Daphnia pulex: one gene and its partners. The protein of the gene in region 3 purifies or fractionates together with the protein of the main gene of each other region. This does not show direct contact. Links are inferred from orthologs where the notes say so. Each region holds a gene or a part of one and is shown on either strand. Other genes may lie near its edges. The genes, in order: ribosome biogenesis protein NSA2 homolog, mRNA turnover protein 4 homolog and GTP-binding protein 4-like.

Region 1 (3,335 bases), on a different chromosome or scaffold from region 3:
TGGCACCACCACGAAGGCGGAGCACCAAGTGCAAGGTGGATTCCTTCTGGATGTTGTAGTCGGACAAAGTGCGACCATCTTCCAGCTGCTTGCCAGCGAAGATCAACCTCTGCTGATCAGGAGGAATACCTGAAAGGAACGAGACAATGATGAGAAAAGTGCCAACTAGGTATTTCTGGGAATGATTAAATGCAGAAAATTCAGATAAATAAACGCTTATTATAATCAGTGTACATATTAAGTGTCCTAAGAACGTCAACTCATCAAAATAATTAGAAATGTAAATTGAAACTTTGGTGAGCTTTTATACCTTCCTTATCCTGGATTTTGGCTTTGACATTTTCGATAGTGTCAGAAGGCTCAACTTCGAGGGTAATGGTTTTACCCGTGAGGGTTTTAACGAAGATCTGCATCGTGGAGTTTTACAACATACAACTCGGCTGCAAAAGAAAAATAAACAAATTAAAACATTTTATATTTGAAAACATTTAAATCACACAAATTTAACTTAAAGACTAGTCTAAGATAACGTAGGCTAAAACGGCGAAGCTAAACGAAAATTCGTGTGTATTATGTTCAAACGAGCAAAATGGCGTTGATACATCCGTCGTTTTCAGGATTATTGGTCACTTGGGCATATTTGCCCCACACAACTTTGCCACCCTGAGTGACGAGACCGAGTTCAGAAACATTGACTTCAATGATGGTTCCCTTTGTTATGACACCCAGAGATGTGTACATTGGAGAGGAGGGATTCTTCTTGACGCCAACAATCGGGAGACAAAATGTAGCTTTCAATTCCGGATGTGTGACGTGAGCCTTCTTGAACCGCAATGCCATGGGTCGGACGAAACGCTCGTACTTGGGCGGCTTACGAGTGAAACCTTCTCCGACGAAGCAAACTTTGGTCACCAGCCTCTTCCAGCCCTTTCTGCGGCTCTTGCCCGTCTTCAAGACACGGAACACTTCAGCTTCTGACTGGGCACGAACTTTGGGTAGAGGAACATCCCATTTGCCAGCCTTCTCCTTGCGCTTCTGCTTCACCATAGAAGACAGCAGTTTGGCTTGTGATGTGTTCTCACGATCCAGGAGGTAAGCAGGCATGGCTCCTTCAGGCACCTTTCCATCTTCCTTCTTGCGAGTCTTCTTTTCTTCATGTGCCTTGATGGTCCTCTTGAGTTGCACCTTTTCAGAGTAGCGCTTCTTGGCAAAGATCTTGCCCTTGATACCAATCAGCTTCTGGGCCATCTTCGATTGCAGTTTGTGCTCCCTGGCCTTCTTCTTTCGCTGCCTTTCTTGATAATCCATGCGAAAGCCATAGCGCTTCTGGAACAACTCAATGTGCTCGTTCTGTGGCATGGTGGTGGTGGTTGGGGAGAACTCTGTGTGTGTGTGAACTAAAGCTGGTCAGACAACAGTTTACCCTGAAAATACAGGGGGTAAGACTTCAATTACATGAACTATGCATGTATAAGGGTGCGTTGTCTGACCATCTTTTAAGTACCAAGATGTAAATCTAGAAAAAACGCCTGTCTACTACTGAGCCTTAAAAAATGTCAAAATGGCGACAGACAACCACGTTGCTGCCGATGGCCGACAATCGCAAGTAACACATTTCCACTTATCAAATAACTAAAAATAACAACGCCCACGCTTACTCAACTTAGCATGATAGTAGTAAGACATTAAAAAGAGCAATTACTCAAGATTATCTAAATAATATATTAAAAAGCTCGAGAGAACTCACCTGCAATAGCACTCTCCCCACTAGCAGCTCGATACTTGAAAGGAAAGAACACTGAGAGCTTCAAGAAGAAGAAGCATAGCGGCAACGTTGCGACTTCCTAACGAATCGAAAATTCACGATTCACCATAATTAATAAAAAAATTATAGAAAACAACAATGTACTTTTAATAAAATTACAAAGTATGAAAATTAATTCATTATAGGGTTAAAAAATTCACGAACTCTTTGCAATTTATTTCAAAGTACGTGAAAAGCATTTTCTGTATTTGAGCGTTTTTGCCGCTAGGTGGCGTTTTATACCGGCAAAATTTGTAAACATTAAACAGCAAGAACGTAACATAAACGTTGAAGTAAATATTTAGGATATTTTCGGTTAATTACGAATTAGATTAAACAAATTGACAAGAACGACTTGATTTTCAGTTTACCCTGCCCGTTTTGTGTTCTTTTATTATTAATATCTAATTGTTAACCAAGTGACAGAGTTAATAAAAGAAAATAAAACAGCGTAACATTCTCTTCATTTATTGTAGAAATGGTGAAACTTTTGGCAGTGAGGAATCTGTTACAATCTCAGTCTAAGCGAACTATCTGGGGATGGTTAAACACAATCACCAACAAGTAATTTTAATTTCAGTTTACATAAATTTTTTTATTAAAATTAATCTGCTTCTACAGAGTGGATGAGTCGAGAATCAAGGATGTTGGACCAGACAGAGCTGCAGCAGAGTGGCTTCTTCGTTGTGGAGCAGGTGTGAGATGGAAGGACAAGGAATCTGTTCTCAAAGACTACAACAGCTTGCCTCCCGGGGGCTACCGAAGTTTGTTGATTGAAGAAATTGATGCCACAGGATCATGTATCATGTCAGTTGGATTTCCTCACTTGAGTATGAGATAAAGCACATAATCTTCCAATTCATGCTAACATATTTCTCTGCAGGAGGACTCGATCATCTGAAAAAACTGACCCTTCACAAATGCAACTACTTGGACAACGAAGCCCTGCCAATGCTGGCAGCAGTCAAAGGTTCACTTGAAGAACTTCAGTTGAGCAGTTGTGGTGACATTAGTGATTCAGCCATAAAATCACTGTCGTGTCTCTCCAACTTGCGTCACTTGCTCCTCTATGATTTGCCGGAAGTCACCAACAGAGAAGGCTGCATAGAGTTCCTGCATTCGGCTCTTCCAAAGTGTGACATCGAGTTCCCCTACGCCAGAGTCAGCGAACTCAAAACCGATAAAGAATAATATCGATTTTCAATAGTTTTATTAAGTGTTGATGTTTGTTGAACCGACTGTATTTGTTTCCGCTCAGAATGCGACGAGACTCGCGTAAATCACATAAATACATTAATAACAAATCAGGCTACGTATCGTGAATATAGTGAGTAGTACCCGCATGTTATTAGTTCTGTTTTATACGCTGATCGTTTTTGAAAAATTTCATTATATATTGTAGAAGGAGTTAAGAGTAATGGTTCAACTTGAGTAGCAGCTAAACACTCGCACACTAAATATCACTAAATTAAGATAGGCACAAAAAAAAATGGTGGGTGTCGGTAATTCGACTAAAGATGAATTTTAAATA
Region 2 (3,725 bases), on a different chromosome or scaffold from region 3:
CTTCTTTACAAAAGAGAAAATGGCTGCACATAAAGACACACCAGTACAGACTTTTGAAGGAAAGGAATGTGGGATGGGTTGGTGCGAGCTGTCGCGTAGGGAGCAAAGATGGCGCCTCTCACTAGCTGCACTAGAGAACATTCTACTCTAGACGCCCTGTTCCTCACCGGCTACAGCTTCACGCTGCCCAACCGAATTTCCATTACATTTATTCGCAAAAAGAACAATCTCACGATTTCTCACTTTAATCCTTGCCGTCCTTGCTTACATTTACCATATTCAAGTTTCTCAAACTTACGTGAGTGGGTGCCGAAGTGTAGCGGAAAATGCCTCGCTGGCTGAGCTTTACCAACTGAGAACTGTCTTTGGCGAATGCAAGTCGTCCTTTCCTTCCCACTAGTTTAAATCGATATGCGATGTAATCGATTCTTTGTTAATCGAGTCTTTATTAATCGATATACGCGCGTCGGCAACACAATCGACGATCGAATTCTTGGATGAAGTCGCCAAGTATGAAAGACTGGACACTGAAATGCTGTCGGAGCTAGCGCCATCTGCGACAACAGGAAAACTTGCAAAGAATTCTCTTAAGATATTTTTAGACTCAAATTGCCCAAGATCTTACCACACAGCTACGGTGAAACAAGTTTCATAACTTTTAAATATTTATATTTGTACGGTACACTTTATACGAATTATACTTTCTATTCGATTAAATATCGGAATAAAGGGGGCGCTGACGGTTGAGTCTCTGAACAGTCTTTTTATCTCCAAAAGAACCTTACTCTGTGCCAGAATAGTAAATGGGAGGGAAAAAAATAGAATGTTCTCGAGCTTCAGTATGTCCCTGTGGCCAAATGAACATTTTCGAAATAAAAACATGGACAATTGATGAAAGATACTTGTTTCCAATGAAACTTTATAGTTTAGATCTAGAAAAACTACCCAATAGTCCCAAACGCTCAGCGATTGAGTGATAATTATTTTGGTTGCTATGTCTTTGCCAGGTCCTTGCTCGCTCATCACTCGTCGCATTGAAGAACAACAAACGAGTCATAAGAATACCGGTCTCAAATACTACTTTTACCTTTGAATAAAAGAAATAAACACATAGGGCTTCGAGCTCAGTTTCTTTGAAATTCAATAAATTTAGGCCTACAGCTGCAAAGATAATGATTAATGAATCATAGATTTCAGATAAGTAAAATGCTTGGAGCGAGAGTCACTTGAGTAATTTGAATGTTGACATGAATGTGAATGTATAATATTAAAATAATCCTACTGTTATCGTACTTAATGTTTCAAATGCAATTTACAGAATAATGTAAAATCTGGGAAAATAAGAAAATATCGTTAATTTTTATACATTTAAAAATAATCGGCAACTTTGTAGTTGTTTGCAGACGACTCACAGTCTCAAAGTCTTTCTTTAGGATAGTAAACGAAACACGTGGTTTTTCCAAACTTGAAGTCGAGACGCTATTTCCGCTAATTTAAACCTAAACAACATTTAAAATGCCTAAAACTAAGCGATTCCAAAAAAGTAAGTTTCTCTGTTTGTTTAACTTTTGTAAAAACTGAATTTAATGTTTTTATTTTTCAGTTTCATTGACACAAACTAAGAAGAAGGGTCTTGGTGGAAAACAGCAATTGGTTGAGGACATTAGATCTTGTGTTGAGAAATATTCTTACTTGTATCTCTTTTCAGTTCAAAATATGAGGAGTAACAAACTGAAATCTATTCGTAATGAGTGGAAAGACAGCAGGTAAACTTGGTTTTATGATGAATCATGAAATGTCAATTATAATTTGCTTGGTCGGATTCAGGTTCTTCCTCGGTAAAAACAGAGTGATTGCTATTGCATTAGGTAGAACTAAAGAGTCTGAAAGCAGAGAGAACCTTCATGAAGTCTCTAAAAGACTTAAAGGGCAGTGTGGAATTGTCTTCACAGATAAACCAAAATCTGAAGTCATCAGGTAACCATATTGTCATTGGATAGTTTAGTTTAATGTTTTCATACACACAAGGAATTAGAAATAAATTGTGGTTATATTCATGTAGATACTTCCAAAAGCATGTAGAATCAGATTATGCCAGGTCTGGTAATGTTGCTACCGAAACTGTCACACTCCAACCCGGTCCTTTAGAGCAGTTCCCTTTCAACATGGAGCCATACCTGAGACAACTAGGTCTCCCCACATCTCTTCAAAGAGGTATTTACACATCACAAATTTAAAATTAAAAAAAATTCCAGATTATCATCTAATGATGTGCATATCTCTTCTGTTTGTTGACAAGGTGTTGTGACATTGCTGAAAGAACACACAGTTTGCAAAGAGGGAAGCATTCTTACTCCTGAAGAAGCCAGACTTTTGGTAAATTATATTTATTTTCTCCTTTGTTTGTGAAAAGTCATGTCTAGAGTGCTTTATGTATAGTAATGCACCCGTCCGTTAATAGTTCTTAAAGACGAAGAGCGTGAGTTCATTAAATTTGATGTAATTTAGTAAGAAATTGTTTTAAGGACCACTCGGATAAATGGAGTAGGGAGAGTGGTCGTTTATTTAATAACCAACCTCGCGTGCGCTTCAAAGCTCTAACAGAAGCACAGCAGCTACATGCAGGGCATATTGCGTCATATAATTAAGATTTCGATTTTTTACGGCGAAGTACCTCATTTATGTTTCTTTTTTTTTTAAATTCTACTTTTAAAGAAACTGCTTTGCAAACACATGGCGGAATTCAGAGTGACCATTGAAGCCGTTTGGGAAAAAGAAGATGGCGCTTTCGAAGATATCGGAAACGGACGTATGTTGGAGAAAGAAGATGACGCAAACGAATCTGCCGACGATGAGAATATGGAATGAATTTTCCCATAACATTTTTTTTTTCTGAATGATAAACTGTATTGGTGTATCAACGAGGGACATAGTCGTTATACAAGTGACTAATGTTTACCTATGGTCATCCCTATGTACATCGTCTTGTCCTTGAATAAGAAAAAGAAACAAGATGCTCTTACATTTCAGACGAATGAAATGTACACGACAAAATTACACGGTTTCATTTCAGTCACTTGTCAATGTTAAGAAACGAAGCTAACGATATTAATTCATATATATATATATGTGTGTGTGTTTATGTAAAGATTGGGTACTGTTGAATAACGGGCAATCGTATTTTGACAGATAATTGAAACATGTAACCCGAAAATATTTACATTTCGATACTCGATTCGAAGGATAAAGAGAACAGGTAAACAGTTGAGGGACACAAGTTACACAATTTTCGCCGTGAGTTGTATAGGAGTCTCCAGTCGAGGGGAGGTCACACACAATCTGGGCGGCCCATTCCAGATCACGGGATCAGAGGGGTGGGATTCTCACAATATTTTTTTTTCTTTCTTTCCATTTTTTTTTATCACGTTCCCTCCTCCACCAAGGAAAAATATACAAACGAAAAAGCAGTGCTATAAACCAGTCCCTTAGTTCCCCACCATCTGCGCGGCTATAGCTACAAACATAAGAGATACACACACGCGAGAGAAAATACAGTGAAAAAAAAAATTATACGTGACGAAAAAACTCCTCATCGATAACTATATGTGTGTGTGGGTTGAAACAACGACATTATAATGTATAAACTTTGGTATGAAAAAGGTGACAACCCCCTTAAATAAGGACAAAAAAAAAGTATGGGCTGGTGGGGACCTCTAGAAAACAAA
Region 3 (4,209 bases):
CCTTTCACCCCAATTGTGAGACAAACAAACAACTAAATCAAAAACAAAACAAAAAATCCAAGCGTCAGAGACCCCATTCGACTTGTTTTGATGTTGTTGTTGTTGTTTACTTGGCCCTTATTTGGCGATATGTGCAAAAATGTAAGGGAAGGTTACGCAGGTCTCTCTCTCTCTCTCTTTTGTTTGCGTCACAGAGTGCGCGATTCTAACCCAAGGCAACAAGTTGTTTACAAAAGTTTCAATCTTTTTGGCTTGGTGCCCATTTTCAAATAAACAAGACCCCAGAGCGCGTCGGATCACCAAGTTTTTCCTTTTCGTTATTTAAAAAAAAACTTATGTAAAATACTCAATAAATTATTGAAATTCAAAACTTTTTATCGAGACTGACGCCAACACGGTGTACTATTTTTCTTTCATTGAAATATTTTCCACAGCGGTCGAATTAATAAACAAAACACGCTGAAAAGAAAAACACAACAATTAAAGAGTACACATGAACCGAGAGAGGGCTGGAAGTGGCACATTTAAAACAAAAAAGCACAGGACCTTTTTTTGAGAATTGATGAACTCAGCAGGCAATCAGGGACTTTTGATGTGATAAGACGTCATATTCAACCTTGGCCTCTCCAACAAACTCCAGGAGCCGGGGCATCAGTCTCGTTGGATTCCTCTTCTTCGTAATCGTTTCGGATGTTGTTTTTAATTCTTACAATTTCTCTGTCTTTTAACGGCGATCGGTTTTACCAATGCCGCGCTTGCCGGAGTAAAGATGTCTGGGCATCTTGACTGCAATGTGTCGATCGGCTTCACCAGCCTTACCGAATTGATTCATCTTGCCCTGAGCTTTGTGACCCATCTTCTTGGCCTTGGCCTTGAGCTCAACGTTGCGGATGCCCGACTGGTCGCGCGGAGTGACGCGAGACGACGAGCTGACGCGTCCGGCAGAATCGGCGCGGGCCTTCTTGATGGGCGGACGGCTGGCCGAGCGCGATTTAGTGCGAGAGAAGTGAGCGCCACTCTTGTTGCTCATGTCGACGCCGAGTTCCTCGAACTCGGAGCGCAGACGGCTGACGGAACGCTCGCGCTTGCGTCCAGCGCGAGGCATCACGGGGGCACCTCCGCTGCGACCGATGCGACCCTCGATGGCGATGATGGCCTTCTTCTCGCGAATCTTGCCAGCTAACCGGTGGATCTCCTTCTCTTCATCGTCCATCTCTTCTTCCTCCTTTTCGTAGACTCCGGATTCAACCCGCAGCTCTTCCTCGCGCTCCAGCTCCTCCAGCTTGGCCATGATGTCAGGGTCGATGTAGTCGGCGATGTTCTTGCCTTCCCAGAATTCAGGAATGACGTCGTATTTGAAGTCGGCCGGAAGGTCGTAATTCTTTTTCAAATCCAGCGAGTAATCATCTTCCAGCTCAACCTCGAGATCGCGTTCCGTCTTCTTCTTGATCTTGGGTCCCTTCTCCAGACGTTTTTCAATCACCTTCTCGGGCACGAAGGCCGGACGTGTGCATCCGTCGCGAGGTTTAGGCAGAGCCACGTGCAGTCGGTTGAGAATGCCTTCCACCTTCTTGCTCTTGATCTTCACCTCGATTCTGTGGGACAGCAAACGTTCGCAGGCTTCCGTTTTGACATTCATCACTCCTTCTTCGCTGAATGTCGACATTTCCATAACGGGGATGTCGTCATTAATGAAACCTTGAATCAAGGCCTTTTGTTCAGGATTCAGCTCCTCCAGACGGATGACATCTGTCTTGTTCAGCACCACGAGCAATGGCTTGTTGGCAAAGAGAGGCTTGATGCTCTCAAAGAGTGCCACTTGCTGTTCGATGGTGTGACCACATTGCTCTGAAATGTCCATGACGTAGAGGATAGCAGCTCTCAGATGGGCCAAGGCAGCAATGGCCTGCATTTCAATGGTGTTACGATCTTCAAGAGGGTGATCCAAAATTCCTGGGGTGTCCACCACCTGCCAACGCAGGTAGCGATGATCAGTATGCCCGACAAAGAGCGACTTGGTCGTGAAAGCGTAAGGCTGGACTTCAACATCTGCCCTAGTGATCTTGTTGATGAAGCTGGATTTGCCGACATTGGGGAATCCACAGATAAGCAGTGTCCGGGTATTTGGGTCAATGGAAGGCAGACGGGAGAGATGCTGCCTGACCTGCTCCAGATATTGAAGACTCTGCGCTTGCCTCTTCATGATGGTGGCCATGCGACCCAAGGCTGCCTTCTTGAGCTGCTTGCAGCGGTACAGGGAGTCACCGTACTTGAGAAGACGGACATAATCTTTGGAGACATTGTCAATCAAATGCAGGGCAATGTTGATCTGACCAAGAGCTAATTTGTAATGATCCTTGTCGTAGAGAACATTCATCAAATCAGCATAGAAGGGATGAATATCGTCCAGCTTGGGGAAATCGGTCAGAATGGTGGACAATTTGTCATGAAAGGTCTGCTGGGAAAACTTGACTTTGCGCATGTAGAATTGACGGATACGAGAAATCTTGTACTGCTTGTGGACTACAGTTGGCGTCTTTCGTTGAGTTTTCGACAAGACGATGTCGATAAAATCCTGTGAAGTTAGCGAAACGTTAGCTGGCCCATCCAACAAGTAATGAAATATCTGCGTTTAATTTACCTTCGCCGTCGGAACGATGACAATCTTTTTGAAATTGTATTGCGACGTCATTTTGTTGATGGTAAGAGTGTCGCACTATTGAAAATTACACGTTTTTCAGAGAAATTCTCTGAAATATTCAGCAATGGCGCAGCCCACTGCTCACACGTGCAACGAAAAGAAAGAAGACACAAGAAAATCGGACATCTAGTGGTAGACTTTTATTCTCTTACTCTTTGCATCACTAGCGGCATCTATCAACATAATCTGCATAGAATTTGAATCGAGTTTTTTAAATTTTTTACTATTCTTTTGCATCAAACTTACTATTCATGTATTCAAAGATTAAGAAAAACAAAAATAAGGATAAATGTATTTACCGTTTACTTCATTTCAGCTCGAATATTTAGAAACGAAAGAAAAAGCTTTTATGCGGGAAACAAAATATACCACGATGGGGCTCAACCACGATATTTAAGTGCATGTGAATCCCCGCTCCTTATCGTGCTTGTATATAATACAAAACAAATATTTGCACAACAGAATTTACAGCCAGGATCCAAAATTTAAAATGTCAGTTTTAATCAGCGGGTGAGTTTTTCAAATAAGATAATGTAATGTAAACTCGATGTAGTGTTTATACAAGGTATAAGAAACCGAGTCCTATAAAATACGACGCAATCGTGCAACGCAATAGCTCAGTCTAAAAATTTGTGTAAAAAATGTCTCGTTTCTCAGTCGGTGTCAGTTTGATATTCATTTTAGGTTGCGGCGCGATTTGTTCTTCCGCTTCTGCCACCTATTCCTTAGAAGACAAATTGAAAGAATTAGAATCGAGACTCGAAACGAAAATCGATTTATTAGAGTCTAAAAATAGAGAACTTGAAGAAAAGGTGACGCAACTGGGGACCCAATTAGAACGAAATGTAAGTTTCTAAACAGATTCATCTTGTTATTTTCCTCCAATAGATTAAATACAATTTGATTTACACTAGAATGAAAGTAGAGACGAATTGGCTCTACAAGTTATCGAATTGAAAACTAAAGTTCAAGAACAAGACAAAGTTTTATCCGTCCTATTGAGAGAAAAGAAGGCAGATTCAGATGTTTCGATCAACATTAATAATCAATCACCCGTGGCTGTCAATGGATTGCCATCTTCGTGTGCAGATCTCAAAAGCATGGGCCACATCTGGAACGGATTTTATTCCGTTATGGGAAATACAACGATGGAATCCGTTTACTGCGATTTCACTAAACCCCCAAGCGATGCGGGTAATTTTGATTATTCTGCGTACTGTATGTTTTGTTGTAATCATCAATATTTTTTTAATATTTTTTATTATGATTTACTTTATTTGGAAAAGGTTTCCAAAAATGGATCGGATACAACGGCGTCAAATCAGCACCCGTCTATTTCCACGCTACGAGATCTTATAGTTTTAACACAATTGGACTCCCAATTAACTACACTTACATACCGTTGAACGTAGGAAATGCTATGGATGGGGCATCAGGAATATTCACGGCCCCACGATCGGGAGTTTATTTCTTCGCCTTCACGGGACAGGTGGAGTTTCCAGCTTCAT

Evidence for each region.
Region 1: the proteins of GTP-binding protein 4-like (region 3) and ribosome biogenesis protein NSA2 homolog purify together in Homo sapiens (affinity purification with mass spectrometry; 3 studies listed by BioGRID and IntAct, counting the BioPlex papers as one, with this or other methods). This does not show direct contact. The link is inferred for Daphnia pulex from reciprocal best matches to the Homo sapiens genes GTPBP4 and NSA2.
Region 2: the proteins of GTP-binding protein 4-like (region 3) and mRNA turnover protein 4 homolog purify together in Homo sapiens (affinity purification with mass spectrometry; 3 studies listed by BioGRID and IntAct, counting the BioPlex papers as one, with this or other methods). This does not show direct contact. The link is inferred for Daphnia pulex from reciprocal best matches to the Homo sapiens genes GTPBP4 and MRTO4.

Annotation. Positions count from the first base shown.
Region 1 is NC_060018.1:12,627,357-12,630,691, reverse strand, and holds ribosome biogenesis protein NSA2 homolog, read right to left. Parts: upstream 1,845-3,335; 5' UTR 1,748-1,844; intron 1,425-1,747; 5' UTR 1,360-1,424; coding exon 577-1,359; 3' UTR 551-576; downstream 1-550. Other genes in the region: ATP synthase subunit s, mitochondrial-like, read left to right, coding at 2,283-2,368, 2,426-2,634, 2,688-2,995. UniProt on the Homo sapiens protein: Involved in the biogenesis of the 60S ribosomal subunit. May play a part in the quality control of pre-60S particles.
Region 2 is NC_060019.1:12,247,697-12,251,421, reverse strand, and holds mRNA turnover protein 4 homolog, read left to right. Parts: upstream 1-1,382; 5' UTR 1,383-1,515; coding exon 1,516-1,543; intron 1,544-1,603; coding exon 1,604-1,766; intron 1,767-1,827; coding exon 1,828-1,977; intron 1,978-2,062; coding exon 2,063-2,214; intron 2,215-2,299; coding exon 2,300-2,376; intron 2,377-2,715; coding exon 2,716-2,868; 3' UTR 2,869-3,072; downstream 3,073-3,725. UniProt on the Homo sapiens protein: Component of the ribosome assembly machinery. Nuclear paralog of the ribosomal protein P0, it binds pre-60S subunits at an early stage of assembly in the nucleolus, and is replaced by P0 in cytoplasmic pre-60S subunits and mature 80S ribosomes.
Region 3 is NC_060026.1:14,945,814-14,950,022, forward strand, and holds GTP-binding protein 4-like, read right to left. Parts: upstream 2,835-4,209; 5' UTR 2,693-2,834; coding exon 2,642-2,692; intron 2,576-2,641; coding exon 725-2,575; 3' UTR 372-724; downstream 1-371. Other genes in the region: uncharacterized protein LOC124204378, read left to right, coding at 3,343-3,546, 3,616-3,895, 3,988-4,209. UniProt on the Homo sapiens protein: Involved in the biogenesis of the 60S ribosomal subunit. Acts as a TP53 repressor, preventing TP53 stabilization and cell cycle arrest.